Neurospora crassa OR74A: one gene and its partners. The protein of the gene in region 1 interacts with the protein of each later gene in a pairwise test. Links are inferred from orthologs where the notes say so. Each region holds a gene or a part of one and is shown in the gene's direction. Other genes may lie near its edges.

Region 1 (3,943 bases):
GAATATTGCTGCGCATGCTCATATGAAAGAGCATTGCAGGTTCTTCTTGCTCAGCCAATAGGCTTCAACTTCTTTTTCTTTTTCTTATCCGAATCCCCAGACTTGCCCTTTTGAAACGCGCGCCAACTATCGATGCGCTGGTCTCTCGTCTTTTCCCAGTCCTCTTCGTGCTGCCTCTTGCGCTTGCGCTGCTCAGCCTCCTCGTCAGCTTTCCGCTGCTCGCGGCCTTCCTCCTGCATCTGCGCCTTGAGCTGTCTGCGTCGTCGCTGCTCGTTCTCGATCAGCACAAACTTGGTCTTTTCCTGCCACTTCTTTTCAAACTCGGCCGTCTTGAGCTCAGGGCTGTCGACCGTCCATTTGTTCTCGCGGATCAGCAGCATGCGCGCGTCCGCGATAGCTTCGTCTAGGTTCTTGCGGTGCTTCTCCTCCATTAGCTCCGTTTGCGCCTTCTTCAGTCTATCGAACGCCTCAGGCGCCAAGGGGTTTTTGGTCTTGTCGGGATGGATCAGCAGGGACTTTTTGCGGTAAGCAATCTTGATGTCGGATTCGGTCACGCCGGGCTTGAGGCCGAGGACTGAGTAGGCGTCGAGCCGGAAGGCTTTCAAGATACGGTCGATCTCGGCATCCTGTCGGAATTTAGATTGTCAGCAACTACTGAGTTGGGGATGTAAATGTTGGTATAGTTGGGCGTGGTTGTTGTCTGGCTTGCCTTCTCCCACTCCTTGGCTTCAGATTCCAGCACTTCAAGCGCATCCCGAGTGTCGGCAGGAGTTTCGTCTTTGACGTCTTTAACGTCCTTCACGTCCTTAGTGTCTGTCGCCATATTGTCGCCGGAATGGAGGGTCAATCTGGATGCTTGTTTGATCAATTACAAAGGGTTGATGGATAAGTAAGTTCGGTCTACCAAACGGAACGCAACTCCGGGGAAGTTTAGGGAAGTTCAGTAGTTGCGACTTGCGACACCTCCAGGAGCGCGGAAAGCACAGCTAACGCACGCCAGCGCTGCCAAGGCAAACCCACGGGCATGCAATGGGTGTACTTGATAAGCTGATAATGGATAAATGTCACATTGGCCCCACTAAAAAGTCGACCATCCAAAATTTACGGGTGACGGGCAGGCATTGATGGCTACAGTAGACAAGAGACCCCAAGACCCCATCATCATCACCAACCTAAACTCCAACCCACCCCGTCCGTCTTTGCATCTTCAATTAGCGATTCGTGCTGCAATTGGCAGCAACACAACCCTCGCTCACCATGCCTAGACGCGCAGCGTCCCCCACACCGTCCGAGAACGAGGTTGACATCGCGGGTGCTTTGTTCAACAACGACAGCGACTTCGAAGACAACAGCAGCAAGCACCACACCAAGAAGGGAGCTGTTACGAACAGCGGGCTTGACCTCGATTTCAACGATCTTCTCGGTAACGGCGATGATGGACTACCTAGCTTTAATGGCGAGGGCGATGATGACGAAGCCTTTATCGCTTCGCTCACACGGAGCTCGCAGAGAAAGTCCTCCAACATTCAGGGCAAATCAGTCAAGAAGGGTGGAGGTTTCCAGGCAATGGGTGCGTAGTCTTCCGTCCCATGGCATAAGTTGATGATGCTTGGGGCAGCTGCTGATACTCTCCTAGGTCTAAACGCCCATCTCCTCCGAGCGATTACCAGAAAAGGCTTCTCCGTCCCGACCCCCATTCAGCGCAAAGCGATCCCCCTGATTTTAGAAAGAAAAGATGTGGTCGGCATGGCCAGAACCGGTTCCGGAAAGACTGCAGCTTTCGTTATCCCCATGATTGAGAGGTTGAAGGGGCACAGTCCACGTGTTGGCTCGAGGGCGCTCATCATGTCTCCCTCGCGTGAACTTGCGTTGCAGACCCTCAAGGTCGTCAAGGAACTCGGCAGAGGTACCGATCTAAAGACCGTATTGCTCGTCGGTGGTGACAGCCTAGAAGAACAGTTTGGTATGATGGCGTCGAATCCCGATATTATCATCGCCACACCCGGTCGTTTCCTCCATCTCAAGGTTGAAATGAACCTCTCTTTGGCCTCCATCAAATACGTTGTCTTCGATGAAGCTGATCGCCTCTTCGAAATGGGTTTCGCTACTGAGTTGACCGAAATTCTTCACGCCCTCCCTCCTTCCAGACAGACGCTTCTTTTCTCTGCGACGCTCCCATCGTCCTTGGTCGAATTCGCCAGAGCCGGTCTTCAAGAGCCAAGCCTTGTCAGGTTGGATGCCGAAACCAAGGTGTCACCCGACCTCGAGAGTGCTTTCTTCGCAGTAAAGGGAGGTGAGAAGGAGGGTGCCCTTCTCCATCTTCTCCACGACGTCATCAAGGTCCCGCTGGGTCCGCCCGAGGGCACAAAGGAAGAGAGTGACGAATTGCAGGCGAGGAAAAGGAAACGCGAGTACAGGCCCAATCCTAAGGAGAAGCCGACGGAATACTCGACCATCATCTTCACAGCAACGAAACATCACGTCGAGTACATTGCGAACCTGTTGAAACTCGCAGGCTTTGCCGTGTCCTACGTTTACGGTTCGCTTGACCAGACGGCCCGTTTGATCCAAGTTGACAACTTCCGTCGGGGAAGAACACATATTCTCGTGGTTACCGATGTCGCCGCCCGTGGTATTGATATGCCTGCTCTCGCCAACGTCATCAACTACGATTTCCCATCTCAGCCCAAGATCTTTGTCCATCGTGTTGGTCGTACAGCTCGTGCGGGTCAGCGTGGTTGGGCCTATGGTTTGGTCCGTCAGTCAGACGTACCATATCTACTTGATCTACAGCTCTTCCTGGGAAGGAAACTTATTATCGGCCACGATCAGAAGAACCCTTCCTTCGCGGCAGACGTCGTAGTTGGAACACTAAAGAGAGATGGAGTGGATGTTAACATTGAGTGGGTTGAGAAGGCGCTCAAGGAGAGTGCCGATCTCAAGGCGCTGAAGGGTGTTGCCGCAAAGGCCGAGAAGCTCTACATGAAGACGAGGAATTCTGCGTCGAGCCAGAGCGCAAAGAGAGCCCGCGAAGTTACGCAGTCCAGGGGCTGGACACAGCTCCATCCTTTGTTTGGAGAAGAAGCCGCTGAAGCCCAGGCAGCTCGCGATGATCTTCTCAGCAGGATAAACCGCTTCAAGCCCCAGGAAACCATCTTTGAACTTGGCCCTAAGGGCAAGTCTAGCCGCAATAAGGCCGCGGAAGTTGTACGAAACATGCGTTCCAGATTCAAGGAGCGCAAGACTACCAACGACGAGGATGATGAGGACGTGGACATGGAAGATGCCGAGGGTAAACCTGACGGCGAGGAGACCAATGCGTTCGAAGACTTTGAGGATGAGGAAGAGGAGGGAGAGGCGGAAGAGGCAGAAGAGGCGGAAGCCAAGGAAGACCCATACGCCGACGACTCGGATTCGGAGATGGAGGTTACAGTATCCAGCAGCATGCATACGAAGAAGAAGGGTGGCCCGGTCAACTTCCAAGACCCCGAGATCTTCATGTCCTACACGCCTCGCACCACTAGCCTTGCGGAGGAGAAGGCTTACGGTGTTCACTCGGGCGGCTACAGCGGCAACAGCTTCGTCGAGGCCGCTCGCGACGCTACCATGGACCTGACCAACGACGAGAGTGCCAAGAACTTCGGTCTGCCCACGAAATCCAAGATGCGTTGGGACAAGCGTCACAGCAAGTACGTGGCGGTCGCCAACGATGAGGACGGCTCCAAGGGCGCCAAGATGATTCGTGGCGAGTCCGGTGTCAAGATTGCCGCCTCGTTCAAGAGCGGCCGCTTCGACCGGTGGCGCAAGGATAACCGTCTCGGCAAGTTGCCCACGATTGGCGAGACGGAGAAGTCGCAGCTCATCCGCAACTTCGGAGCCCAACCTGGCCAACCGCGGTACAAGCACAAGATGGAGAAGGCGCCCAAGGATGCGGACAAGTTCA
Region 2 (3,981 bases), on another chromosome or scaffold:
AAACGACACAAAAAACATCAGCAGAGTCCAACTATTTATCACCCAATCCCTCTGATAGCCTCCATAGACATCCGCTTTGAAGTGGCACCAGGAAAGCTTGACATCGTCTTGATTCCGGGACCGGAATCCTTAGCTTGACCTCTAAGAGGGCCCAGCCGCTCTGTCGTGGCTGGCAGGGCATGCGAACAACACCAGTAACAACCAGACGAAAATGACAGACATCCTAAGCGTCTACTCAGCCATCTACCTCTGCGGTGCGGCCGGGATACTCAAAAGCAAGCAAGCCTGTGGACCGCGAGAGTTGCAAGGAGATCTGCGGACGAGATTCGAGGACCAGGACGTTATTCGGGTGGCGGAGAAGTTGAGGTGGGTGGGGGATGGGAATCTTTGGCTTATTCTAGTGGTTTGTTTTCATCCCTTCCTGACTAGGCCCAGAAGACTGGGCCGACATTCGATGAATACTATAGGAGGCGTAACCAACGGCAATGATCTCGTTGCGGCTTACGCGAGGCAGAGCCGTCACTTCCCGGGCCCAGTGGCTAAGTCGGGATTGAAGCTCGTTAAGGTGGATGAGAGGCCGCAGAGATATGAAAATCGAGACAAGATCTAGAGACGATTGCGTTGATGATGGGATGACTGTGGCATGCTGGGTTATCAAGGTGTGCCTGAAGGTTCAGCCAGGGGCTTACCTAATCTTGCTTTGAATCCCTCAGAAATGCTTTCGTTGGTGAATCCTCTCACTCAGGTGGAGTGAACCGTGAGCCTGGGGGACCGATGTGATGTGGGATGGCATCGCCGGGAGACTCCAGACATGTACCTGTGGTGCATGGTGTTCATTCTTATACCTCCCACCTGATGCACTTTGCTCTGGCACCAATGAATCCTGCAGATGGCAAAAGATTGCAGTCCCGCGGCGACCACCTTCAAACCTCGAGTCGGTGATGACGAGTTGCAGTTTGAACATCCCGTCGTCGCAAGGTTCCCATGCCAGCTCTAGGCACATCAAGCGTCCGCGCACGACGTTAGCGCGGAGCTTGTCGAACTCTTCCCCGCTTTTGTTAGCAGACCGGCCTGCATTGACCGACATACCCTTGCTAGCTTGGCTTGGGGAGCGGGAGAGTGGCAGTGAACCGATAAGGAAGTCTTATCGCTACAGTAACAGACAGTACAGACGGTGGGGTGCCGAAATTTTTCTGGATTCCAAGTGCAGTTCGCCTGAACTTTTCCTGTCGACCGCCCTCGTCCTCGATCGCATTTTCTGCCTTTCCCAAGTCAAACTGGTCGCATCCATCTTCAGACTTTTTCTACCCAGCCCATTCATCTTCTTTCAATCTTAGAAGTGTATACTTCCGACGACGACTTCGAGTTCCTGTCTCTTTAGTTTTCTTTAAAATCTAGACTTTTTGATACCCCGGCGCAAAGCACCACCCAATCTTCACAATGGCCCCCCTTATGCCTGTCGCCGTTTTTGGCTTGGAGGTTCCTCCTGGCGAGATCCTCATTCCCGCCGCCTCTGAGTTCCCTGCTATCGTAAGTGCACACTTTTCGGAGCCTTTGGCCCTCTCCTTCGCAGGCAATGGCGCTCCACTGGACTGGGTTACACGGAGCTAACGACATGAATTCCAGATTCACATCACCATGGCCGCCCTCGATCCCACCAAGGCTCCTGAGGCTGACGGCCAAGGCAACATTCCCGCGCTCCCCCGCTCGACCCTGAAGATCATCAAGGCCACTGGCCACGACCATGACGACGATGATGAGGAGGAGGATGAGTACCTCCAGTCCCTCCTCGGCGGCGGCGACTCTGACGACGAGGCCAACGGTGGTCCCAGCGACCCTTCCAAGTCCAAGAAGGCCAAGCAGGAGGCTGCCATCAAGAAGCTTATGGCTGCTACCCAGGAGGAGTCTGATGAGGAGATGGAGGATGCCAAGCCCAACGGCAAGAAGGGCAAGGGCAAGGGCAAGGCCAGCGAGTCCGACGAGGAGGAGAGCGACGAGGAGAGCGACTGCTGCGGCGATGATGACCTCCAGCTTGAGGACTACGTTGTCTGCACCCTTGACACTGAGCGCGTAAGAAGCCCCATCCATTCGGTGAACGTATTTTTGAGTTCTTGGAGCTAACCTGATTCCCCATATACAGAACTACCAGCAGCCCATCAACATCACCATCGGCGAGGGTGAGAAGGTCTTCTTCTGTGTCCAGGGTACCCACTCTGTCTATCTCACCGGTAACTTCGTTGTTCCCGAGGATGACGAGGAGGACAGCGAGGATGATGAGGATGAGTCCGACGACGAGGATTACGACTTTCCCCTTGGTGGCGAGGATGACGATTCCGACGATATGAGCGACGAGCTCGACGAGCTCGATGGCACCCCCCGTGTCAAGGAGATCACCTCGGAAGACGAGGAGGAGGAGGCTCCCAAGCTTGTCGACACCAGCAAGAAGGGCAAGAAGCGCCCCGCCGAGGACGATGCCGAGGGTCTCGATGCCATGATCTCCAAGGACGACAAGAAGCTCAGCAAGAAGCAACAGAAGAAGCAGAAGGTTGAGGAGGCCAAGAAGGAGGAGCCTAAGAAGGAGACCAAGTCCGACAAGAAGGTCCAGTTCGCCAAGAACCTCGAGCAGGGCCCTACTGGCCCTGCCAAGGACAAGCTTGAGAACAAGAAGCCTACCTCTACCGTCAAGGTTGTCCAGGGCGTCACCATTGATGACAGGAAGGTTGGCACCGGCCGTGCCGCCAAGAACGGTGACCGTGTTGGCATGCGCTACATCGGAAAGCTCCAGAACGGCAAGGTCTTCGACTGTAAGTCTCACTTTTCCATCACTCTCACAGTATTGACTAGAGACTAATATTCAATACAGCCAACAAGAAGGGTGCCCCGTTCTCTTTCAAGCTCGGCAAGGGTGAGGTGATCAAGGGTTGGGACATCGGTGTTGCTGGCATGGCTGTCGGTGGTGAGCGTCGTCTCACCATCCCCGCGCACCTTGCCTACGGCAGCCGTGCCCTTCCCGGCATCCCCCCCAACAGCACTTTGATCTTCGACGTCAAGCTCCTTGAGATCAAGTAGATTGTGACGTTTCGAAGCGTGGGGTAGGAAGGCTTTGGCTAGCGTCGCGATTTCTATGGCGGTTGTCATCCACAACCTTTCGTGTTCTATGGCTAGCAAGTCTTGGGATTTCTTTGGTCAGCACATATTTCCTTGCGCTCATGTTGGGTTTGGTCAAGGAAGTGGGAATGTCATTTCAACAGCATAATGTCAAAAGTATTGGGTCTGGATTTCTTTCTGTACTTTGGGTTGTACATCGTTCATGGGGCACGATCTATTCTATATTGCGTCTATCAATTGCAAAGGCGCAACATTTCTACGTTACCTACACTCGACTCGGACTTGGCAAACTTGGATGTTTCGAGATGTCGAGGAAAGTGTCTTTGATTGACGGACGGTAATAACTTCCAGGAAAGCGTGACAGTTGGCTACAAACACTGGCTTTCTTCAGAATTGAAGTCGTACCTGCCCTGTCTGTGCCTCAAGAGGTCAGTGTTGTTGACCTGGGGCAAGGGAGGCACATCTAATGGGTAGGTAGTTCAGGTGATGCATAGGTATGGAGCTACCTTACTCCGAGTCGTCCTCTCTCACTGCACCTTGTCGTATTTCAACACACTGACAAAGTCCATCCACGTCTTCCCACCTCCCCGCTCTGCTTCCATCTCTCAATAGGTATCGTCATTGTATCTTTCACTATCATCATAGCCGCCGCGACTCCCGACTGCCGCCAAACTAGGCATTGTGCGTTACGATCGACCAACTTAGACGCCGCAGCGGTTTCTACCATTCAATGGACAGGACCGAGCTTGAGACATGAAGAGGAGCTCTTCCCAAACATCAAGTCATTTGGGTACCGCCATCCCGGTTTATCGTCCCACTAAGCCTGACGACTGCTCGCCTAGGTCGTCTCTCGCTTCTTCTTCACCCAGTCAA
Region 3 (4,082 bases), on another chromosome or scaffold:
TCTTGTTGCTCGGTGACTGAGGAGCGTTTCCGCTTTAGGATATCATGTCGGGGTGATAGTGTGAGGATCTTTTCAGGCGAGGCGGAAACTATTTGTACTTTCTTCGCCAGCACGGGAGATCGCGCAGGTGGTAGTTTGGCAGCAAATTCAGGCTCTTCGTCACTCAGGTCTTCCGAGGCCTCTTCGTCACCCACTTCTGCTTCTTCTGAGGGAGTGTTTCGCCCGCTGGCAGTGTTTTCCGGTTCGTAATCAGATTTGATTTGCTGCTGAAGCTTGCTAGGGCTGCGCTCGAACGTCCGATCGCGGCGGTCGGTGAATTGTCGAGTGCCAGGCTCACCCGCGGTGTCTACGATGTCGCGCGATACTCGATCTTTCGGTGGTGTGTCGTAGAGCCTCTCTGTCTCTGCCTCGGAGTCATTAATATCCACGTCCGACAGCTTGCTCTCGTCGTCAGTCTCAGCGCCAAGGTCCGAGTCGACGCCATCGCGATTGTCAGTTCGGACCGATGTCTCGCGATGTTGAGAGTGGTTACTGTTCATGTCCAAATCCATGTCGTCAGGATCTCCATGCTTGTCTTCCACGTCACTAAGTGGGCTTGACACATCGCTAGGGCTGTGTTGGAGCAGAGGCGGAGGGGGGCTCGAGAGAGCCAAGGACAGCGCGGTGTCACCGGTAGCCATCGCGGATCATAGAATCCGACGAGATTGAAACTAAGCAACGACGCGCCAATGTTGGGTTGAGCAGCTGAGCAGTGGAAAGTTGGACGGCCACGTAGAATTTAGTCGTGGACGGCGGACTGGACGTCCGAACTGTACGGGCAGCTCAAGAGCAGCACCTGAAGTTGTGGCGCCACGATCAGGGTAAAGTGTGTTTATGCCGGAAGGTTAAAATGTGTGCTCGCACACAATGAAATGTCTCGGAGATATGGCTTTGTTGTCGGTACGAGGGCGCGATTGTCAAGAGATAACGTGCGGTCTGGGTAGGTAAAGTAGTAGGAAGACAGATCGGGAGAGTGAGGAGCGGGCAGTAGGTATCTGGTTGACGACCTAGACTGGGAGCTGGACAAGCGCCCACAGCACCGCACCAGCACGCAACACAAATGGGCAACCGGCAGGTTTCTGGGGGGCTCCATTGCCTGCCCGCTTGCCTGCCGCCGCCGCCCGTCTCCAACAGCCCAGCGCACCACACAAAGGCGATGGCAGGCGGTGAGTCTTGGCAGCTTTGATAACAACTGATAAGCGAGTTTTTTTTTTTAATGGGAGGATGCAAGATGTTCCACGGTCCTCGACTCGTCCTTACGATGCGCAGTGGGGAAGGTAGAAACGACGACCCTTTGAAACCCTGGACCATTGAACCTGCCTGCATAGAAACTGGTCTTGCCTTGTACAACATCCTGCTAGAAATCAGAAGTGGAAGCTTTGCAATTCGATTTTGACAGCATTTACAGCCAATCACATCTTTCGCCTCGTCGTCGAACTTCAGTTGTTTTTCCGTGCTCTTAGAACTAAGTCAATCACAAGTGCTTGATTGGCGAATCGTGCCACTTTCCCATCCATTGCGCTTACACACGACGGAAAACTCACAATGGGTAAAACGTGCGAACAGCCCTACGCTACAGTCAACGCCATTCTTCCAGTATTCTGACACCACTATTATAGTAAAGGACTCGTTGCGCCGGTGAAGAAGGTTGATCCTAGCTTGGATGCTTTGTTTGCTACCAGTGTAAGTCATCTCGCTCTGACCAGACAGGCAATTGGAAGTTTACATGGCTAATCTTGTGTAGGTTGGTCCAGCGAAGCCCCGCCCAGCTGCAAAATACTCCGAGCCCCTACCGACAAAGTCCAAGAAGGCGCCAGTACCTTCCAAGAAAGAGGAAGACGTTCAGGACGAGGGCGATGACGAGGAACTGAGCGAGCTTGACGAAGAATACGATTCCGAGGTCGGCATTGGAGAGGATGACGAAGACGACGAGGCTGAAGACAACAGTGACAGCGAAGACGAAGCCGTCGCGACCCTCGAAGTTGTTGTAGAACAAGGAAAGGTCCCGGAAGAAGATGGACCGAAACGGAAGCGGAAGCAACCCGACCAGCACGACAATCTCGAACACAAATACCTGTCCAAGTTGGCGGAGGACGATGAAGAGCCGGCTGGCAAGCGTCTCAAGGCCGACGAGCAATCCGGAGAAAAGAAGGATACCGCCAAGGCCGAGAAGAAGGACGACGACGACAGCGAGTCTGCGGATGAGGTCCCCGTTCACGAATCGCTAGCGCCCGATGCTGCCCAGAACGAGATTGAGAAGGCCAACCGCACCGTCTTCCTCAGCAATGTCGCCGTCGAGGCCGTCACCTCTCGTTCGGCCAAAAAGGCCTTGATGAAGCATATGGCTTCAGTGTTGGACAAGGAGGCGAAACCTGCGCAAAAGGTTGAGTCGATACGGTTCCGCTCGACTGCCTTCGCTACCGCTGCCATTCCCAAGCGTGCCGCTTATATCAAGAAGTCCGTGATGGAGGCCACTACGAAGTCGACAAACGCCTATGTTGTCTACAGTACCCCTGCGGCCGCTCGTCTTGCCTGCTCGAAACTCAACGGCACAATCGTGTTGGATCGCCACATCCGTGTCGACAGCGTTGCCCATCCTGCCCCGGTAGACCACAAGCGCTGCGTCTTCGTCGGTAACCTTGGTTTTGTGGATGACGAGACAGTACTGCAAGTGAAGGTAGACGAAGACGGTAAGGAGGTGACCGAGAAGAAGAAGCGGACAAAGCAGCCTATGGACGTTGAGGAAGGTCTCTGGCGGGTATTCGGTAAAGAGGGCGGCAAAGTTGAGAGCGTTCGTGTGGTCCGCGACCCTGTCACCCGTGTCGGCAAGGGCTTCGCCTACGTTCAGTTCTGCGTGAGTTATCACTTCTCTCTGTCTCTTACTTGCCCGTTATCAACTAACAACTCTGTTCCCCCTCCGTAGGATGAAAACGCCGTCGAGTCAGCCATCCTCCTCAACGGCAAGAAATTCCCGCCCATGCTCCCCCGCGAGCTACGCGTCAGCCGCTGCAAGGCCCCTCACAAGACCCTGCGTGCCATCGAAGCCAAGAAGCTCAAGGCGCAGGGTGCCGTTCCGGAAACTATGAAGAAAGGCAACAACGGGAAGAAGGGTCCTGGCTCCAAGAAATCCGACTACGCCCCCAAGATCTCCGCCGAAGCCAAGACCATCGCCGGCCGCGCTGAGAAGCTCCTCGGCAAGTTCACTGCCAGACAGGTCATCGGCTCCGACAAGAAGAAGACTTTCAACAAGCAGGACAGATACCAGGCCAACCAAAGGAGGAATCACGCCTCGGGCGCCAACACGGAGGCGACCGGTCCCAGAGTCCCGGGCGCCTACAAGTCCCCCGAGAGTTTCATTCTCGAGGGTAAGCGTGCTAGTGCGGCAGACGGAAAACCTAAGGATCTCAAGTTCAAGGGCGCCAAGAAGAACAAGGCGCCGAATGCGGGTGGTGGTAAGAAGAAGACTGGTCGTGCTGCTGCGAGGGCTTCGAAGTGGAAGGTTCAAGGGAAGGGGAAGAAATAAGTGCTAGGCCATTTGCCTGATGTTTAGGGTTGTTTGCTGGTATAGAGCCAACGGGCAGCAGCCGGCGTGGTGCGGGTGCGCGCGTTTCATCCGGCGCGGCCCGTGGATTTTCAAGCTTCAAGAAAAGGGGCAGAATTCGAAAGTGAACAGAAGCCTTCGATTCATGACGCGCGCATGTATGGATAGGATAGGATAGGCTGTAATGCAGTCATCGCATATGAAGGTATCTCAACGGACTGTCCCCAACCGCGTGATACTTCGCAATGACGGGAATGTGGAGGAAGAGCCTTGGCGCCCAGAACTAGGTACATATGTAGTTGTCTGAAATTGCAGTATAACCGTGGAACGACTGTTAAGCCTGGCTCCGTGGTTCTTGCGACAGGGAATCGCAAACAATACAAAAATTAACAACACGGCCACATTGAAAGAAAATAAAAAAGAAACAACGTGTAAAGCCTTCAAGTGCACCATACCAACTTTCTACATGATGTCTCGTGGAATTGTGGGTGAGCTGTGTAGG
Region 4 (3,972 bases), on another chromosome or scaffold:
TCCTTGGCTGCGCTTCGCGGAGGAGGAGAGGACGGAATGGGGGGAATGTTGTTGCTGGTGTTCAACGACGACGAGCTCTTAACTCCCAAAGGGGTTGAAGTGCTGTTGGAGTTATCGGCCATGGCGAAAGGATTCTCTTCGACTACCAGAGCGAAGAGCTGGGTCCAGGCCGCTTATGCAACACGATACCTAGAGACGATGTACACGGGGCCGGCGACGCTGGATGCGCGCGACCTGGCAGCGAGGGGCCGCCGATGGCAAGGGTACGCGGAGACAGAGAACAGGCTGTGGTGATGGATATTTGTACAGAATCAGTTGAGCAACAGCTGGCGCAGAGGTATTGCTGGCAAGTGTCGACTGGATATTGGACAAGGGCTGACGTCGAAGTTGCAGGCTAGGCTGTGTGCAGCAAGCAGGCTGAGCTTGAAGAAGGACGGGAGGTCGAGGTCGTCGTTGAGAGACAAGGTAGGCGGCCGGGGGGGGCGTAAGGTATTGGCGCCGAGTTTATTGGTTGGCGGATTTGGTCGTAGTAGTATGGGTCCTCTGAGTGAAGTGGTGCGGCCGGAAGGGGTATGTCTATGTCGGTTTCTGGTGTAAGTGTGTCCTTGGTAGTATGGACTTGAAATTGAATGCGTAGGTGGAGATGTGATGGAATTGGATTTGGTTGTTCGTTTCTGTTGTGGATTTCCCTTGCGTGGTTCAGTTCCTAGAAGTACCTACGCTTTTGCTGAGTTCCCACTTGAGTACCTAGGTTTGCCGGGCAACCAAATCGACAGCCATGGAAACCTGACCTGACCTGGCCTGACCACCCATGGACTCCATTGAACACCTCCTCCAGTGGGCAGAGGCTGGGCGTGCGGTCCGTAGCGGCCGGGGGTCGGGGGGGAGGCGCCTAGAAGGAATGCGGTTTAGTGCTCCATCAGGGGAACGCGAAGACGCGGGAACAAATGACGCGCTGCATCGCGAAAGCTTAATGGCTTTTTCGTCCCATAAATCGCGGTTGCTGAAGACATGAAGATTGGTCAATGCACTGCACTTCAACCGCGGGATGTCTGGCCCACCCTGATGGGGCCCGTCTTGCTCGTTGCCCCACCAGCCGCCGGAGTCCAGTCTCTTATCGCTTATCGCCCTGCAGCTGTCATCCAAAAAAATCATTCTGCAACGACGACCCTGCAATCCCTGCGCTGCGAGTGCTGGAGGGAAGAACAGTCAAAGGGCACCCGGACTGCCATTTTCACCAACCCAAAAAAGTCACCAGGTCGTCCTGCTCAACAACACCAGTCGGAAACACCCCCCGACTTAGAGCACCGGCACCATGGCGATCCAAAAGAAACACGGCAAGGGCCGTCTTGACAAGTGGTACAAGCTTGCCAAGGAGAAGGGTTATCGTGCCCGTGCCGCCTTCAAGCTGATCCAGCTCAACAAGAAGTATGGATTCCTCGAGAAAAGCAAGGTCGCTCTCGATCTTTGCGCTGCGCCCGGTGTAAGTCATAGTCGTGAACATCCAGTTTATCATGGAGTGAACTAACCATGTCTGTGTCCGTCCCTAGTCGTGGTGTCAAGTCTGCGCCGAGACTATGCCGACAAACTCCATCATCATCGGTGTCGATCTTGCTCCCATCAAGCCCATCCCCAAGGTCATTACCTTCCAGAGCGATATCACCACCGAAAAGTGTCGCGCAACCATCCGCTCCCATCTCAAGACATGGAAGGCCGACGTCGTTCTTCACGATGGTGCGCCCAACGTCGGTACTGCTTGGGTCCAGGATTCGTACAACCAGGCCGAACTTGCCCTGCACTCGCTAAAGCTGGCCACCGAGTTCCTTATTGAGGGCGGTACGTTCGTCACCAAGGTGTTCAGATCCAAGGACTACAACTCCCTTCTCTGGGTTTGCAACCAGCTTTTCGCCAAGGTCGAGGCTACGAAGCCCCCTTCGTCCCGTAACGTCTCCGCCGAAATCTTCGTCGTCTGCCGCGGCTTCAAGGCCCCCAAGCGCATTGACCCCAAGCTTCTCGACCCCCGCTCCGTTTTCGAGGATGTGGCCGGCCCCGCCCCCAACAACGAAGCCAAGGTGTACAACCCCGAAGTCAAGAAGAGAAAGAGAGAGGGTTATGAGGAGGGAGACTACACCCAGTTCAAGGAGATCTCTGCCAGCGAGTTCATCAACACTGTCGATCCCATCGCCATTCTCGGCCAGTACAACAAACTCAGCTTTGAGCAACCCAAGAACGGCGATGTAGCATTGGCTGCCCTCGACAAGCTCCCCGAAACGACCGAAGAAATCCGTCTCTGCTGCGCCGATCTCAAAGTGCTCGGCAGGAAAGAGTTCAAGCTTCTCTTAAAATGGCGTCTAAAAGTACGGGAGATCTTCGGCTTCCCCTCCAAGAAGACCCAGAAGGCAGCTGTGGACGAGGAGGTTGCGGTAGTGGAGAACATGGATGAGGAGCTTAGGATCCAGGAGGAGCTGCAAAGGATCAAGGAGAAGGAGACCTCCAAGAAGAAGCGCGAGAGGAGGCGCGAGAATGAGAAGAAGCAAAAGGAGATTGTCCGCATGCAGATGAACATGACTGCGCCCATGGATATTGGTGTGGAGCAGGAAGGTCCCCGTGGTGAGGGTGCCATGTTCCGTCTCAAGACTATCGACCAGAACGCTGCCCTGAATAAGATCGCCAAGGGCAAGATGGCCGTTATCAAAGAGACCGAGAAACCGAAGGATTACGACTTTGGCTCCGACGGCGAAACCGACGAGAGCGACGAGGAGGCCGATCGTCTGGAGGAAGAGCTCGACAACCTGTACGATCAGTACCGGGAGCGGAAGGCGGCGGCCGATGCCAAGTACCGTGCCAAGAAGGCCAGGAAAGAGAACGGCGACGATGAATGGGAAGGCGTATCTGGCGATGAGGAGAAGGGTAGCGACGACGATGACGATGAGGAACTAGAAGTGGACAGCAGTGATGATGATTCCGACTCAGAGGATGGTGAATCTGGCAAGAAACTTATAACAGATCTAGACGGCCAGCCAGAAGAGAAGGATGGTCTGTCCAAGCGGGCCAAGAACTTCTTCAGTCAAGGTATCTTTGCGGAGATACCAGGACTTTTGGAGGAGCCAGAATCTGAGGAGGAGGAGGCTCAGGAGGCTGAGCTTGTTGAGGCTGTGGAGGACCTCAAGGTTACCAAGAAGGAGAAGAAGGAAGCCAAGGAAACCAAGGCCAAGAGCAAGAAGGCGGCCGAGGAGAGCGATGACGACGACGATTTCGAGGTTGTCAAGAACAACGAGGATGACGACTGGGAGAACGTTGAGAAGAAGAAGAAGAACGGCAGGCCTGGTAAGTTTCACTCAGTCCCTCTTCAGTATGACCTGTTAAGGGCAATGGCTGACTATGACAACTACAGACATCGACATCATCACCGCCGAGGCCATGACCCTCGCCCACCAGCTCGCGACCGGCGAGAAGACAAGTTACGACGTCATCGACGACGGTTACACCAAGCACGCCTTCAAGGACCGCGACGGTCTTCCCGACTGGTTCCTTGACGACGAGTCCAAGCACGACAAGCCGCACAAGCCCATCACCAAGGCCGCAGCGCAGGCCATTAAGGAGAAGCTCCGGGCCTACAACGCCCGTCCTATCAAGAAGGTGGCCGAGGCCAAGGCCAGGAAGAAGTTCAAGCAGGCCCAGAGGCTGGAGAAGCTCAAGAAGAAGGCCGATATGCTTGCCGGTGACGATGGCATGTCAGAAAAGGAAAAGGCTGCTAGCATTTCGAAGCTCATGGCGTCGGTTGCTAAGAAGACGAGGAGGGCGCCTATCAAGGTTGTCAAGGCTGCTGGTTCCAACAAGGGTCTCCAGGGCAGACCTAAAGGAGGTTCGTACTATCACTACCTTAAGATCTGGTGTGTTCTTTATGTTGGAATGATGCTAACTCGGTTTTTTCAATTTTATAGTCAAGGGCAGGTACAAGATGGTGGATCC
Region 5 (2,927 bases), on another chromosome or scaffold:
TTATACGCTGAGCGTTCCCTTGGTGCTAGGAACTTCACCCTCGCGACCCGCCACCCGGCTAGTAGCCTGCCTCGTGGCAACCGCAAGCGCCTTGAATGCGCTCTCAGCTCTGTGGTGGTCGTTGTCGCCGCGGAGGCAGTCGACGTGCACGGTAATGCGGGCAGCCCCGGCAAAGCTATGGATACAGTGGGGGATCATCTCGGTGCTGAGATCGCCAATCTTCTCGCGCTTAAGACCGAGGTCGACAACGGCAAAGGGACGGTTCGACAGATCGACGACGGCACGGCTGAGGGCCTCGTCGAGAGGGCAGTATGCGGATCCGAAGCGCGCGAGGCCGGTGGGTGTGCCGAGAGCCTTGGCAAAGGCGTAACCAAGAGCGATGCAGACGTCTTCGGCGGTATGGTGGTCGTCGACTATGAGAGGGACAAAGTCAATTCAGAGTTCTGGATGTTGTTCCACGAGGACTTCTGCGCCCAAGCCAAGTGTGTCTACTAACTGTGAAGGTCGCCCTTGCAAGCAAGCGCAAGACTCCAGCCGGCATGCTTGGCAAGCGCATGGAGCATGTGGTCAAGGAAACCAATGCCGGTATTGACGCTGATAGTTTGCGATTTGCTAGCCTGAGTGGCATGGCCGTCGGCGATACTGACGTTCAAGCGGGCGTCGGTCTCGGGAGGGAATGCGCCGCCATCAAGGTTGAGTGCGATCTGGATCTTGGTCTCGTTGGTGTCGCGTGCAAAGGCGGCCCAGCGGGGCGCGGGCTGTTCGGTGCTCATTTTGTCTGAATAGGGCGTCTGAGACTTCTGGGGACTGTAGACTCTTGGGATATCACCACGGCAGTGTGATCAATTGCGATGTAAGGATGGCGACAATAAAGGTGATCTTGGAAATTTTGGCGATTTCGGAGTGCCACCAGTGAGGGAACGCACCGATAGGCAATCGATATGGAATAGGTACCTCCACTAGTGCTGCCAACCCCGCGCTTACACTAGAAGGAAACTAGAGTTTCCTGCTCGCCTGCCGATCCCCAGCTGCCAATTAGAGATTTCAAGGCAGCCCCACGGCGAGCTGACAGACCCCACTGCCCCGTAACCGCGCTCAGCAGGCGTTGATACAGTGCTATATGCACAAGCTCTAGAGGTACCTTGGATTAACCGCGATAAGATAAGGCAGGGACCAATTCCGGTCCCAAAATTTTCCCCAGAAGTCGACCGAACTGAAGCGACAGCGTACAGGATACATTCGAGAGTATTCGTACTCCATCCACCCATCCATATCCCGAACCACCATTTCATCTATCGTTGATTTCTTACGACCTTATCAACGAATCAACCACAACTCACAATGGCGCCGACAAAAACGATAAAGAACAAGCACGCTGCGAACAAATCCGGCATCAAGGGCAGCAAAGATGCGGAGAGGTCGAGGAACGATGGAGTGCTCAAGTCCAAGGGAAAGCCGAAGGGCAAAGCTCACACTCTCGTGACTGCCAGCAAGGGCCGACCGAACATCCAGGAGCTTATCGCCAGGAAGAAGAAGAAGAAGACCTACAGCGAAAAGGAGCTTGCGATTCCGGAACTCAACATGATCACCCCCGTTGGTGTGACCAAGCCAAAGGGAAAGAAGAAGGGCAAGGTGTTTGTGGATGACAAGGTAAGCTGTCTTTCGTTAGCGTCTGGGGTCATATTGGTTTTTTGTTTTCTTGCTAGGTTTCAAGACCGGAAAGCATCAAGTAACTGACATGTTTTCCCCCTTTGTACAGGAGAGCATGGCCACTATCCTAGCCATCGTACAAGCAGAAAAGGAGGGCCAGATCGAGTCCAAGATGATCAAGGCGCGACAAATGGAGGAGATCCGCGAGGCGAGACGCGCTGAAGCCGAGAAGAAGGAGGCTGAGCGCAAGGCCAGACTCGAAGAGACTAAGGACTCGCTGCGCAAGAAGCGTAAGCGCAGCAAGCAATCGGGCGGTAGCAAGGGCGACGACGACGATGACTCCAGAGATGTCAAGGAGTTCTCGTCTGCGGGCACGAAAGCCGTTAAGTCGAAAAAGAAGAAGTCGGTATCCTTCGCTGCTCCCGAATAAATAATCAAGCAAGGATGCTGGGAGCTTTGAAGGTCCCTCCTGGGAATGGGCTGGGAGAATGAAGACAGGAAGGGTGGAAGTTTGTCGTGTAATACCTACACCAAGCATTTTTTCTTCGCATGTATGGCGTCTGGGCGTTTATATCAATCAAAGTCTGGCGGCGGGTAGGATGGCTTGGCTGGGGGAACAGTTCTGACTGATTTTGTGTGTGGAAATTAAAGATACCAATTGGGCACGCCAGCCTTGGTCCAGCCTCTTTTTCTCATGAGTCGGTAGATGTTATTAGGTGAAACCGTCAGGATGGTGTAGTTCGTGGCTCGCATAAGCCATCAATGAACGTACGTTCGAACCTGTATCCAAGTCGAAAGCGCGAATCTAAGTCTATGTGCAGCCCCAATGTGCCTTGAAGCGCGTCTAGACCCTTTAGGCCCAATCGATGGACCCATCTCTATAGCTAATCTATGTACAGTCTTCGTTCTTTTCAAGTGTTCATTCCACCACCATCTATTGATCCACATCGAGAATCTGCAACTTTCGCTGCACAGGGTCGAAGTGAGTTCTGAACTGGCTATCGAACTTGTCACAAGCATCCGGCTTGATGGCGTCCAAGTCAATATCGAAAGCCATCTTGTTCAGGAAGTTGCAGATCTAGACAACAAATCAGCAAAAAGTTACCGGAAAGTGAGGCAAAAAGAAACTTACAGGACGAGTATGCCATCGTCCGCCACCAAGTTCGAACCATGAAAGATGTCCGCCGAGAGACGTGAGGCAAAGTACCGTGTAGGGGTTCTGCTTGATCTCTTGGTAGGGAATGGCCTCCTCAACAGCGATCTAGTAATTTGTCAGC
Region 6 (4,008 bases), about 3.3 Mb from region 1:
CTATGGTCAGAGGGTACTGGGCGAACAAACCTGTGATATACATGTTACTAGTTTATCAGAGAATCCAACTCCAGCGTTTAGTCGGTAGCCTTGTACTTGGCGCGGTATTCCTCCGTCTTCTCGACGTCCTCAGGGGAGGCAAGACCCCTCATGCCCTCAATGATGTCGTCCAGAGTAAGGATGGCAAAGATGGGAATGCCGTACTCCTTGCGGAGCTCGCCCATAGCACTGGGGCCGGGCTTGCTATCGTCACCATCAGCGGCAGGGAGCTTCTCCATGCGATCAAGAGCAACGACGATGCCAGCGACAATGCCGCCCTCCTTCTCGATCTTGGCGATAGCCTCACGCTTAGCAGTGCCAGCAGTGATGACATCGTCAACGATGAGGATCCTCTTGCCCTTCAGAGGGGCGCCAACAATGTTGCCTCCCTCGCCATGGTCCTTGGCCTCCTTGCGGTCGAAAGAGTAGCAGATCTTGCCGTAGGTCTCGGGGTCAAGCTGGGCAAGCTTGTCGGTGGCAGCAGTAGCGAGGGGAATGCCCTTGTAGGCGGGGCCGAAAACAATGTCAAAGTCCAATTGGCCGCTCTTGTGAGCCTCGATAATGCACTTGGCGTAGGCAGTGGAGATGGCCTGGAGAAGGTCGGCACGGTAGAAGTCGCCGGCGTTGAAGAAGTAGGGGGAAATGCGCTTGGACTTGAGCTCGAAGCTGCCGAACTTGAGGACGCCGCCGTCGATGGAGGCCTTGAGGAAGTCAGCCTTGTAAGGCGAGAGAGCGGCCATTGTGCTGGTACGTAGTGTTTGTAGGATTGGAATTGAAGCTGAAAGAAGAAGAAGAGATTTCAGAAGAACAGCGTTGACGTCTGTCTGCCTGGCAACTGAATAGCTGGAGGAACCTGGGGAAAATTGAGAAAATGGAGGGAGGGGCCGAAGGAAGGGTTCAGTTCCTGGCGGCGTCACACGCGGCAGTCTTTCAACCGAGTCAATCAGATGGTGGGTTACGAGTGGGCCACCTAGTTCCAGGAGCCAGGCCCGCGAAAGCCCGGTCATCGGCCACTTGGGCGCGGTGGGGTCCCTGAAAAAATGTGGGGTTAGAAAATCCTAAATTCCACACTAGCCGAATCCTTAAGCACCCCTTGGCAGCATGTCTTGGCAGCGCACACTACCTCTAGGTTCAATCCACTTTGGCACTCTGCTGTTATCTTATCGATTGGAGCAGCCGCTGGAAAAATATTTCGAAGTAGACTTTCCATTTGGCAGCGCAGCGCCTCCCCGTCGCCCTCCAACACCGCCCCCTCCCCCCGCAGCCGGTCTCTATCCTTCAGACCGTCCGTCCGACCTCATTGTCCTGCACTTCCAGTCCGAGATCTTCTCACCAGCAAGTGCTTGACATCTATACCCGAAATGACGTGGAAGGACATTGCCCCTGTGCCTACGTAAGGACATCTTGGTTGTTGTGTTGTTGTTTGGCATCGCTAACTCGCTTCTACAGGGCACAGGAATTCATCGACATCATCCTCTCGTAAGTCGACATCGGCAGCCCCCAACCACGACGATGCGAAGTCTTCGAGTTCGAGTCCAATGGCTTGGCCACGGTGGTGAAGGATATTAACTGTTCAACAGGAGGACACAGCGTCGCTTGCCGACTCAGAGTATGTTGTACAATGTGGAAAATTACGTGAAGCATGGCATGATCGCTAACCTTTACTTTGAATAGTTCGTGCTGGTTTCAAGAGTATGTCGTCTCGATATCCGATACTTTGTATGAGAATTCGAATAGATCATTGACACGCGACACCGAACAGTCAGCAGAATTAGAGCCTTCTACACCCGTAAGGTCAAGTTCACACAGGAAACATGCAGCGAAAAGTTCGGCGCCATCGTCTCGAGCTTCCCCATCCTCGCCGACCAGCATCCTTTCCACCGCGATTTGATGAACATTCTCTACGGTACGAATCCCGCGCTTCCCTGCGACAGGCGGTTTCAGCAACAGCGGGTTGTGAACCGCGCCTGGTCTTGTTGGGAATAGTGGCTGACAAGGTGATGGATAGATGCCGACCACTTCAAGGTTGCCCTTGGTCAGGTCTCGACCGCCAAGCACTTGATCGAGACCATCTCTCGTGATTACGTCCGTCTCCTCAAGTACTCGCAAAGTTTGTACCAGTGCAAGCAGTTGAAGAGAGCCGCCCTCGGTCGTATGGCCACCCTCATCAAGCGTCTGAAAGACCCTCTCGCCTACCTCGACCAGGTCCGCCAGCATTTGGCCAGATTGCCCGATATCAACCCTACCACCCGTACCCTCCTCGTTGCCGGCTTCCCCAACGTCGGCAAGTCTTCGTTCGTGCGCTCCGTCACCCGCGCTGATACCCCTGTCGAGCCCTATGCTTTCACCACCAAGAGCTTGTTCGTCGGCCACCTCGACTACAAGTACCTCCGTTACCAGGTCATCGATACCCCTGGTATTCTCGACCACCCTCTCGAAGAGATGAACACCATCGAAATGCAGTCAGTTACTGCCCTTGCCCATCTCAGAGCCGCCGTCATGTTCTTCATCGATATCTCGGAGCAGTGCGGTTACTCGCTCAAGGCCCAGTGCAACTTGTTTAGGTCCATCAAGCCCCTTTTCGAGAACAAGATGGTCTACGTTGTCCTGAACAAGATGGATATCAAGACCGTTGAGGACCTCGACCCCGAATCCCAGGCCGATCTCATGGACCTTACCAAGTCCGGCAACATTCAGCTTTTGCGCGCCTCTTGCGCTACTCAGGACGGTGTCCAGGAAGTCAAGAACACCGTTTGCGAGGCTCTCCTCGTTGAGCGTGTCAACCAGAAGTACAAGGCCGGTACCAGCAGCAACGGCACCATGGGCTCCCGTCTCACCGAGGTCATGTCCCGTATTCACGTCGCCCAGCCCGCCGATGGTGTTCTCCGCGAGACCTTCATTCCCGAGGCCGTCAAGGGTCTCAAGAAGTACGACAAGGCCGACCCCGAGAGGAAACTTCTCGCCAGGGATATCGAGGAGCAGAACGGTGGTGCTGGTGTCTTCAACGTCGATCTCAGGGAGAACTGGATCTTGGCCAACCCCGAGTGGAAGTACGACAAGATTCCCGAGGTCAGTATCTCTCGCATTCCGTCTCCCCCAAATTAAACCCGGTTACTAACATGTCACGCTTTGACGAACAGATTGTCGACGGCAAGAACGTCTACGACTTCATCGACCCCGATATCGAGGCCAAGCTGGCCGCTCTCGAAGAGGAAGAGGAGCGTCTCGAGAAGGAGGGCTTCTACAAGTCGGACTCGGACCTCGGCGACGAGTCGGAGGAGGAGATCCTGCAAAAGGCCGAGTACATCCGCGAGAAGCACAAGCTGATCCGCAACGAGGCCAAGATGAAGAAGTCGCTCAAGAACCGCGCCATAATCCCCCGGAAAATGCAGAAGAAGTCGTTCGCCCAGCTCGAGGACCACATCGACCAGCTCGGCGTCGACACCGAGGAGATCAACCTGCGCGGCCGTGCCCAGGTGCGCGAGCCCACTCGCGGCCGCTCGCTGGCCCGCAGCCGCAACGCCACCGAGGACCCCGACGCCATGGAGGTGGACACGCCCAAGAGCGCCGCCGAGCGTCTTCGCTCTCAGAGCCGTCCGGCCCAGCGTGGCCAGGGCGCGACAAACAGGCGCGACGACGGTGTTACTGGTGGTGTGGGCATGGACGGGGAGACAGCCCGCTCCAAGGCCGAGAGGGTGGCCAAGCTCGGCCAGCGCAAGATGAACAGGATGGCCAGAGCCGGCGAGGCCGACAGGCATATTGGTGCTACCATGCCCAAGCATTTGGTACGTCTTTTTTCTTTTCTTTTCCCCTTCCTTCAATCCCCCTTTTCTCTTTTCTCTTTTCATTCCTAAACTAACCACACATGTTTTCTATAGTTCTCCGGCAAGCGTACCGTCGGCAAGACACAGCGTCGTTAATTTGGATCGATGATCCATATATGTTTGGGTTGGGTTGGGTTGGGTGTGT
Region 7 (4,220 bases), on another chromosome or scaffold:
TCAGACCAAGGCGAAGAAGGCGGCAGCCAGGAAGTCGGAGTCTTTCATCATGTCGGATGACTCTATCGAGGAAGCTTTTCGGAGCGTTCCGGATGCTGTATGGAGTTCGTCAAAGGCTCGTCGTCGGAGCGGAAAGGTTCAGTTTGTCGAGGAGTCACCGTCCTCTGAACCAGTGTCTCAGGAGAAGGAACAGGAAGATTTGGAAGAGCCATCTCTTCCTGCGATGCCAAGGAGTACCACCATTGATGCCAGCAGCGATGCCGAGGACGAAGTGGAAGTTCCTGGCTCATCATCGCAAGAGGCCATCACCAAGAAAAGTGTGAAATCCCAGACGCCGCTGGGCCCTCGGCTCCGGCAATTCTCGTATCAACCAGGTAAACCCGGTGCTCGCCTTGTCAATGGTCTGCCTACACCTTCCTCAACCCAAGAGAGATCTGCTGCGGTGCGTAGATCATCGTTGAATCCAAGCTCGCCCATGTTGACTCCGTTGCAACGCATGGGAGCCCGGGCATTGAAGCAAGTTACACCCCGCGCCACGCCTCCTAGCAGCCTCCGCGCACGTAAATCAAGCAAGCCGAGCGAGGCTCTCGGCTCCGTCCAGGTGGATCCCGCCGCCATTCCGTTGCCGTTGGCCGACTTTGCTGAAGTTAGAGCCCTGAACATGTCGCTTCAGGGGAGCGAGGATCAGATTATTCCTGAGAGTGATGGAGAAACCGAATTGGGCACGGCAGCCACTCGTCCGCGACTTAACTTGGCGCAGTACCTGTATTCGTGAGCCCCCAACTCGTGCTCTCTGGAGTGTATTAGGAGAAGCCAGATATGTGGTGTGCATAGCTCTCGGCGTATCGGTAAGGAAGAAACCCCGCCTGGAAAATGGGTGGGCTTGAATTGTACTATGGTCTGTTGTAAGGAAACGAGGAAAGATCATGGGTCAGGAGTATTATCAGGCAAAGAAGGCAATCATGGAAAGAGCAGGCTGAAGTAAATGAGGAGAACTTCTATTGCCTGTTATGCGATAACATTGCCCTGATGGGCCATTCATTGATGGCCTTTGTCCAGAAGGTAGCTATATCACTTTAGTAGGAAATAAACAAACAATGGTAACCATGATGAAGGAACACTGTTGCACCTGTCAAGACACTGTCAGGAGACATGTCACCATCAGATCCAAACATAAATCCTATAGGTATACTATACACGAGGTAGACGGGAGCGTGCTAGAATAGGCAAGTATCCCTCTAACCGCGATAAGATCGATGAGTAGGTGCCAGGGCAGTTCACCGCCTTTGGCAGAATGCCAGAACCCCAAGCGTGAAAGTGTGGGGCAAGGTGCTGGGGGGCTCCACACTGCTGGGAACAATCCACTAAAATTTCACTGTAATCCACTGGCGAACAAAAATTCATCGAGACGGGAAACAGTCGCTCGACCACAGCCGACCCGCCCTCCACTGTCTCAATTTTTCCATCTGGGTTTCGTTTCGATACCTCGACATACTACCTCGACCATTATTCCGCCCGCTCGACATCACTCACAACCCCATCACAGCGAAATCCCGGATTCGACTTTCTTTGTCGCCTCAATCACCTAGGTCTCTCTATTTTAGCGACTGGCAATCAACCAGGTCGACTCGTACAAGCGAAAACCAGCGTGTGCAAAGATGGCGGATACCGATTTGCAGGTAAGCAGACCGGCGCTGGAATGCACACCACCGATACGGTGATACCCATGGGCTGGTAGTTGTGGCCAAACTGGGATGGCTAGAGTTCGACGCTGACCATGCCGTCTTGCGATTGCGAACAGGAGCGCCTGCGTTCTCACGCTCAGGCCTTTGACGGTCTACTGTCGCTGATCCCAGCCAAGATGTACTACGGCGAGGACAATAGTGTACGTTACCCCCACCCGTTGACTTAGCTCTTCATCATAAACTCAACCATTGATGTTGGTGTCAAAATGCCTTCGATCGCGTCGCTGATCCCAAGTAACCCCGCCAACAGGATCAGTGGAAGAAGAAGAAGCAAACCAAGGAGCAGGCAAAAGCTGCTAAGCGGGGGAAGCTCGATCCCGACAGTGAACTCAACCGCAACGCCAAGGAGGTCATGGAGGAGCGCGCCCGCAACAAGCGCAAGCTCCAGGAAATGGAGGAGAGCAGCACTGAAGACAGCGACATCGACGTCGAAATCCCTGGTGTTGAGAAGGAGAAGCCTCTTGAAGGACTGAAGAAGAGGGTCGTCAAAGACGACGCCGAGACAGAAGAGTCTGCGCCTAAAAAGCAGAAGCTTTCCGAGGAGGAGGAGGAGGTGGTGGAGGAGGAGGCCGTCCCCGCTGAGAAGCCCTTGAGCAAGAAGGAGCAAGAAAAGGAGGCCAAGCGTCTCGCAAAGCTGGCCAAGCAGGAGAAGAAGAAGGCCAAGCTCGAGGCGAAACTAGGCAAGGGTGGAAAGACGGAAAAGAAGGACGACACCGCCGAAGAAGCCAAGCCTTCTACCGAAGCTAACGAGGACGACGAGAACGACGATATGGCTCCCATTGATGTGTCTGGTCTCGTAACAAAGGAGGATGAGGGCGAGTCCCAGGAATCCGCTCAATCTTCTGTTTTCGACAGTCGCGACAAGGCCGGTTCCGCCGAGCCTGCCAGCGCCAACACCTCGATCTCTTCCGCCGTTCCCCCATCGGATAAGCCCAAGTTCAAGCTTCCCGCCGATACCACGGTTCTCCGCGAGCGTCTCGCCGCCAAGATTGAGCAACTCCGTGCCGCTCGCAAGGTTGAGAAGGACGACGAGGGTAAGCCCATTCGCACTAGGCAGGAACTCATCGAGATGCGCCGCGAGAAGGAGGCCAAGCGCAAGGCCCACAAGCGCGAGCAGAGACAGAAGCAGAAGGAGGAGGAGGATCGGAAGCGGTCAGAGGCTATTGCCAGCTCGCGCAACTCTCCCCTAAGCATGCTCAGCCCCAAGGACGATGTTGAAACCAACTTTGCTTTCGGACGTCTCGCCTTCTCTGATGGTGTTCAGCTTTCTCGTGACGCCGCCTTTGTCAAGTCCGACGGAACCAAGAAGAAGGGCCCCACGGACGCCAAGTCCAAGCTTGCCAAGCTTGAGGCGCAGAAGAAGCGCCTCGAGGCCTTGCCTGAAGATAAGCGCAAGGAAGTCCTTGAGAAGGAGACGTGGCTCGCTGCTCGCAAGCGTGCCGAGGGCGAGAAGGTTCACGACGACGAGCACCTGCTCAAGAAGGCTGTCAAGCGCAAGGAGAAGGCAAAGAGCAAGAGCGCCAATGAGTGGAGAGAGCGCAAGGAGGGCGTCGCCAAGGCCCAGTACGATAGGTCAAAGAAGCGCGAGGAGAACATCAAGAAGAAGCAGGACGAGAAGAAGGCCCGCAAGATGGGCATCAAGGTCAAGAGCGGCAAGGGCGGTAAGGGTGGAGGAAAAGGTGCTTCCAAGGGTAAGAGCAGGCCTGGATTCGAGGGCGGATTCGGTGGTAAGAAGAAATAAGCGTCGGATAAGGTGTTCAGCAAGGGGTGTTTTGTCTTTTTGGAGAGAGATGTTGATACCACTGCTGCTGCATAGCGGCAGATGCTCGGGAGGCTGGCATATCCTTTTCCCATTCTTCTGCCTTGTCGCTACGTACATATTTCTTGCTGGAAGGGGGTAACAGGTGGTGTTTTTGGCGTTTGTTTTTTTTCCTCATGGTTTTTCGTTTCTTTTTTCTTTGCACGGTCGGAATGGAAAAAGAGATTATATCACACGTACATATCACAACTGGACCAGATCACGACAAGCGGTTAACATGGTACGAGGCTGGGCAAGCCTTGTCTTTTGTTCTTTTATACTTAGCTAGCTTTTAGTAGTGGTGGCGAAGGGAGGAGGTAGGGGCTGGAGGTCCCCCTTCTTCTTCAGCGAGGCAGCATCTTCAGGGAGTTAAAAAGTGATTATCAGCTCACCGAGTCTTTTCTCTTTTTTTGTCCGGTGACTTGAATTGGTGATGTGAGACGCATAGCTTCCCTTTCTTGCTTGTCTGATACCGAGGCGCTCTCCGGTGTAGGCGTTAAATTCCAGCTGTGAAATGAGGTGCTGTTAGTGCTGGGTGGTCGGACTCTACTTTATTCGCAATCAAAGCACTAACACGGCGCCTGGAAGCCGACATAATTCTAGGTGATGCTACACGATTTTATCATGATCGGAGCAACCCGTGTTCCGTTCCACAAGGGAAGCTTGGAAGGGGTTAA

The links.
Region 2: the proteins of NCU07712 (region 1) and fkr-4 interact in binary tests that used the Saccharomyces cerevisiae proteins (3 or more experiments, as listed by UniProt). The link is inferred for Neurospora crassa OR74A from reciprocal best matches to the Saccharomyces cerevisiae genes DBP10 and FPR3.
Region 3: the proteins of NCU07712 (region 1) and NCU09131 interact in binary tests that used the Saccharomyces cerevisiae proteins (3 or more experiments, as listed by UniProt). The link is inferred for Neurospora crassa OR74A from reciprocal best matches to the Saccharomyces cerevisiae genes DBP10 and NOP12.
Region 4: the proteins of NCU07712 (region 1) and NCU03669 interact in binary tests that used the Saccharomyces cerevisiae proteins (3 or more experiments, as listed by UniProt). The link is inferred for Neurospora crassa OR74A from reciprocal best matches to the Saccharomyces cerevisiae genes DBP10 and SPB1.
Region 5: the proteins of NCU07712 (region 1) and NCU01301 interact in binary tests that used the Saccharomyces cerevisiae proteins (3 or more experiments, as listed by UniProt). The link is inferred for Neurospora crassa OR74A from reciprocal best matches to the Saccharomyces cerevisiae genes DBP10 and LOC1.
Region 6: the proteins of NCU07712 (region 1) and NCU05289 interact in binary tests that used the Saccharomyces cerevisiae proteins (3 or more experiments, as listed by UniProt). The link is inferred for Neurospora crassa OR74A from reciprocal best matches to the Saccharomyces cerevisiae genes DBP10 and NOG1.
Region 7: the proteins of NCU07712 (region 1) and NCU06090 interact in binary tests that used the Saccharomyces cerevisiae proteins (3 or more experiments, as listed by UniProt). The link is inferred for Neurospora crassa OR74A from reciprocal best matches to the Saccharomyces cerevisiae genes DBP10 and RRP14.

What each region holds. Positions count from the first base shown.
Region 1 is NC_026504.1:2,110,052-2,113,994, forward strand, and holds the start of NCU07712 (ATP-dependent RNA helicase dbp-10), read left to right. Parts: upstream 1-1,143; 5' UTR 1,144-1,257; coding exon 1,258-1,570; intron 1,571-1,636; coding exon 1,637-3,943. Other genes in the region: NCU07713 (DnaJ domain-containing protein), read right to left, coding at 51-626, 710-823. UniProt on the Saccharomyces cerevisiae protein: ATP-binding RNA helicase involved in the biogenesis of 60S ribosomal subunits and is required for the normal formation of 25S and 5.8S rRNAs.
Region 2 is NC_026501.1:5,029,454-5,033,434, forward strand, and holds fkr-4 (FK506-binding protein 4), read left to right. Parts: upstream 1-1,181; 5' UTR 1,182-1,440; coding exon 1,441-1,530; intron 1,531-1,626; coding exon 1,627-2,070; intron 2,071-2,140; coding exon 2,141-2,804; intron 2,805-2,863; coding exon 2,864-3,069; 3' UTR 3,070-3,709; downstream 3,710-3,981. Other genes in the region: NCU16390 (hypothetical protein), read left to right, coding at 212-366, 430-610. UniProt on the Saccharomyces cerevisiae protein: Proline isomerase that belongs to an abundant class of enzymes that catalyze the cis-trans isomerization of X-Pro peptide bonds and can accelerate the refolding of proline-containing polypeptides. Specifically binds nuclear localization sequences.
Region 3 is NC_026501.1:5,442,282-5,446,363, forward strand, and holds NCU09131 (nucleolar protein 12), read left to right. Parts: upstream 1-1,282; 5' UTR 1,283-1,584; coding exon 1,585-1,595; intron 1,596-1,658; coding exon 1,659-1,722; intron 1,723-1,783; coding exon 1,784-2,893; intron 2,894-2,962; coding exon 2,963-3,562; 3' UTR 3,563-4,018; downstream 4,019-4,082. Other genes in the region: NCU09130 (hypothetical protein), read right to left, coding at 1-680.
Region 4 is NC_026505.1:2,021,513-2,025,484, forward strand, and holds the start of NCU03669 (AdoMet-dependent rRNA methyltransferase spb1), read left to right. Parts: upstream 1-1,172; 5' UTR 1,173-1,315; coding exon 1,316-1,483; intron 1,484-1,550; coding exon 1,551-3,327; intron 3,328-3,394; coding exon 3,395-3,865; intron 3,866-3,944; coding exon 3,945-3,972. Other genes in the region: NCU03668 (WD domain-containing protein), read right to left, coding at 1-122. UniProt on the Saccharomyces cerevisiae protein: Required for proper assembly of pre-ribosomal particles during the biogenesis of the 60S ribosomal subunit. Specifically methylates the guanosine in position 2922 of the 25S rRNA at the stage of 27S pre-rRNA maturation.
Region 5 is NC_026505.1:3,571,855-3,574,781, forward strand, and holds NCU01301 (60S ribosomal subunit assembly/export protein loc-1), read left to right. Parts: upstream 1-1,212; 5' UTR 1,213-1,341; coding exon 1,342-1,650; intron 1,651-1,759; coding exon 1,760-2,080; 3' UTR 2,081-2,427; downstream 2,428-2,927. Other genes in the region: NCU01300 (imidazoleglycerol-phosphate dehydratase), read right to left, coding at 1-413, 497-773; NCU01302 (hydrolase), read right to left, coding at 2,585-2,728, 2,783-2,911. UniProt on the Saccharomyces cerevisiae protein: Required for efficient assembly and nuclear export of the 60S ribosomal subunit. Involved in asymmetric localization of ASH1 mRNA.
Region 6 is NC_026504.1:5,445,647-5,449,654, forward strand, and holds the start of NCU05289 (nucleolar GTP-binding protein 1), read left to right. Parts: upstream 1-1,208; 5' UTR 1,209-1,400; coding exon 1,401-1,432; intron 1,433-1,488; coding exon 1,489-1,518; intron 1,519-1,619; coding exon 1,620-1,648; intron 1,649-1,713; coding exon 1,714-1,731; intron 1,732-1,801; coding exon 1,802-1,945; intron 1,946-2,047; coding exon 2,048-3,108; intron 3,109-3,179; coding exon 3,180-3,824; intron 3,825-3,917; coding exon 3,918-3,959; 3' UTR 3,960-4,008. Other genes in the region: NCU05290 (orotate phosphoribosyltransferase), read right to left, coding at 78-779. UniProt on the Saccharomyces cerevisiae protein: Involved in the biogenesis of the 60S ribosomal subunit.
Region 7 is NC_026507.1:1,847,947-1,852,166, reverse strand, and holds NCU06090 (hypothetical protein), read left to right. Parts: upstream 1-1,420; 5' UTR 1,421-1,658; coding exon 1,659-1,679; intron 1,680-1,801; coding exon 1,802-1,885; intron 1,886-1,995; coding exon 1,996-3,486; 3' UTR 3,487-3,939; downstream 3,940-4,220. Other genes in the region: NCU06089 (exonuclease), read left to right, coding at 1-775. UniProt on the Saccharomyces cerevisiae protein: Involved in ribosome biogenesis and cell polarity. Required for the synthesis of both 40S and 60S ribosomal subunits and may also play some direct role in correct positioning of the mitotic spindle during mitosis.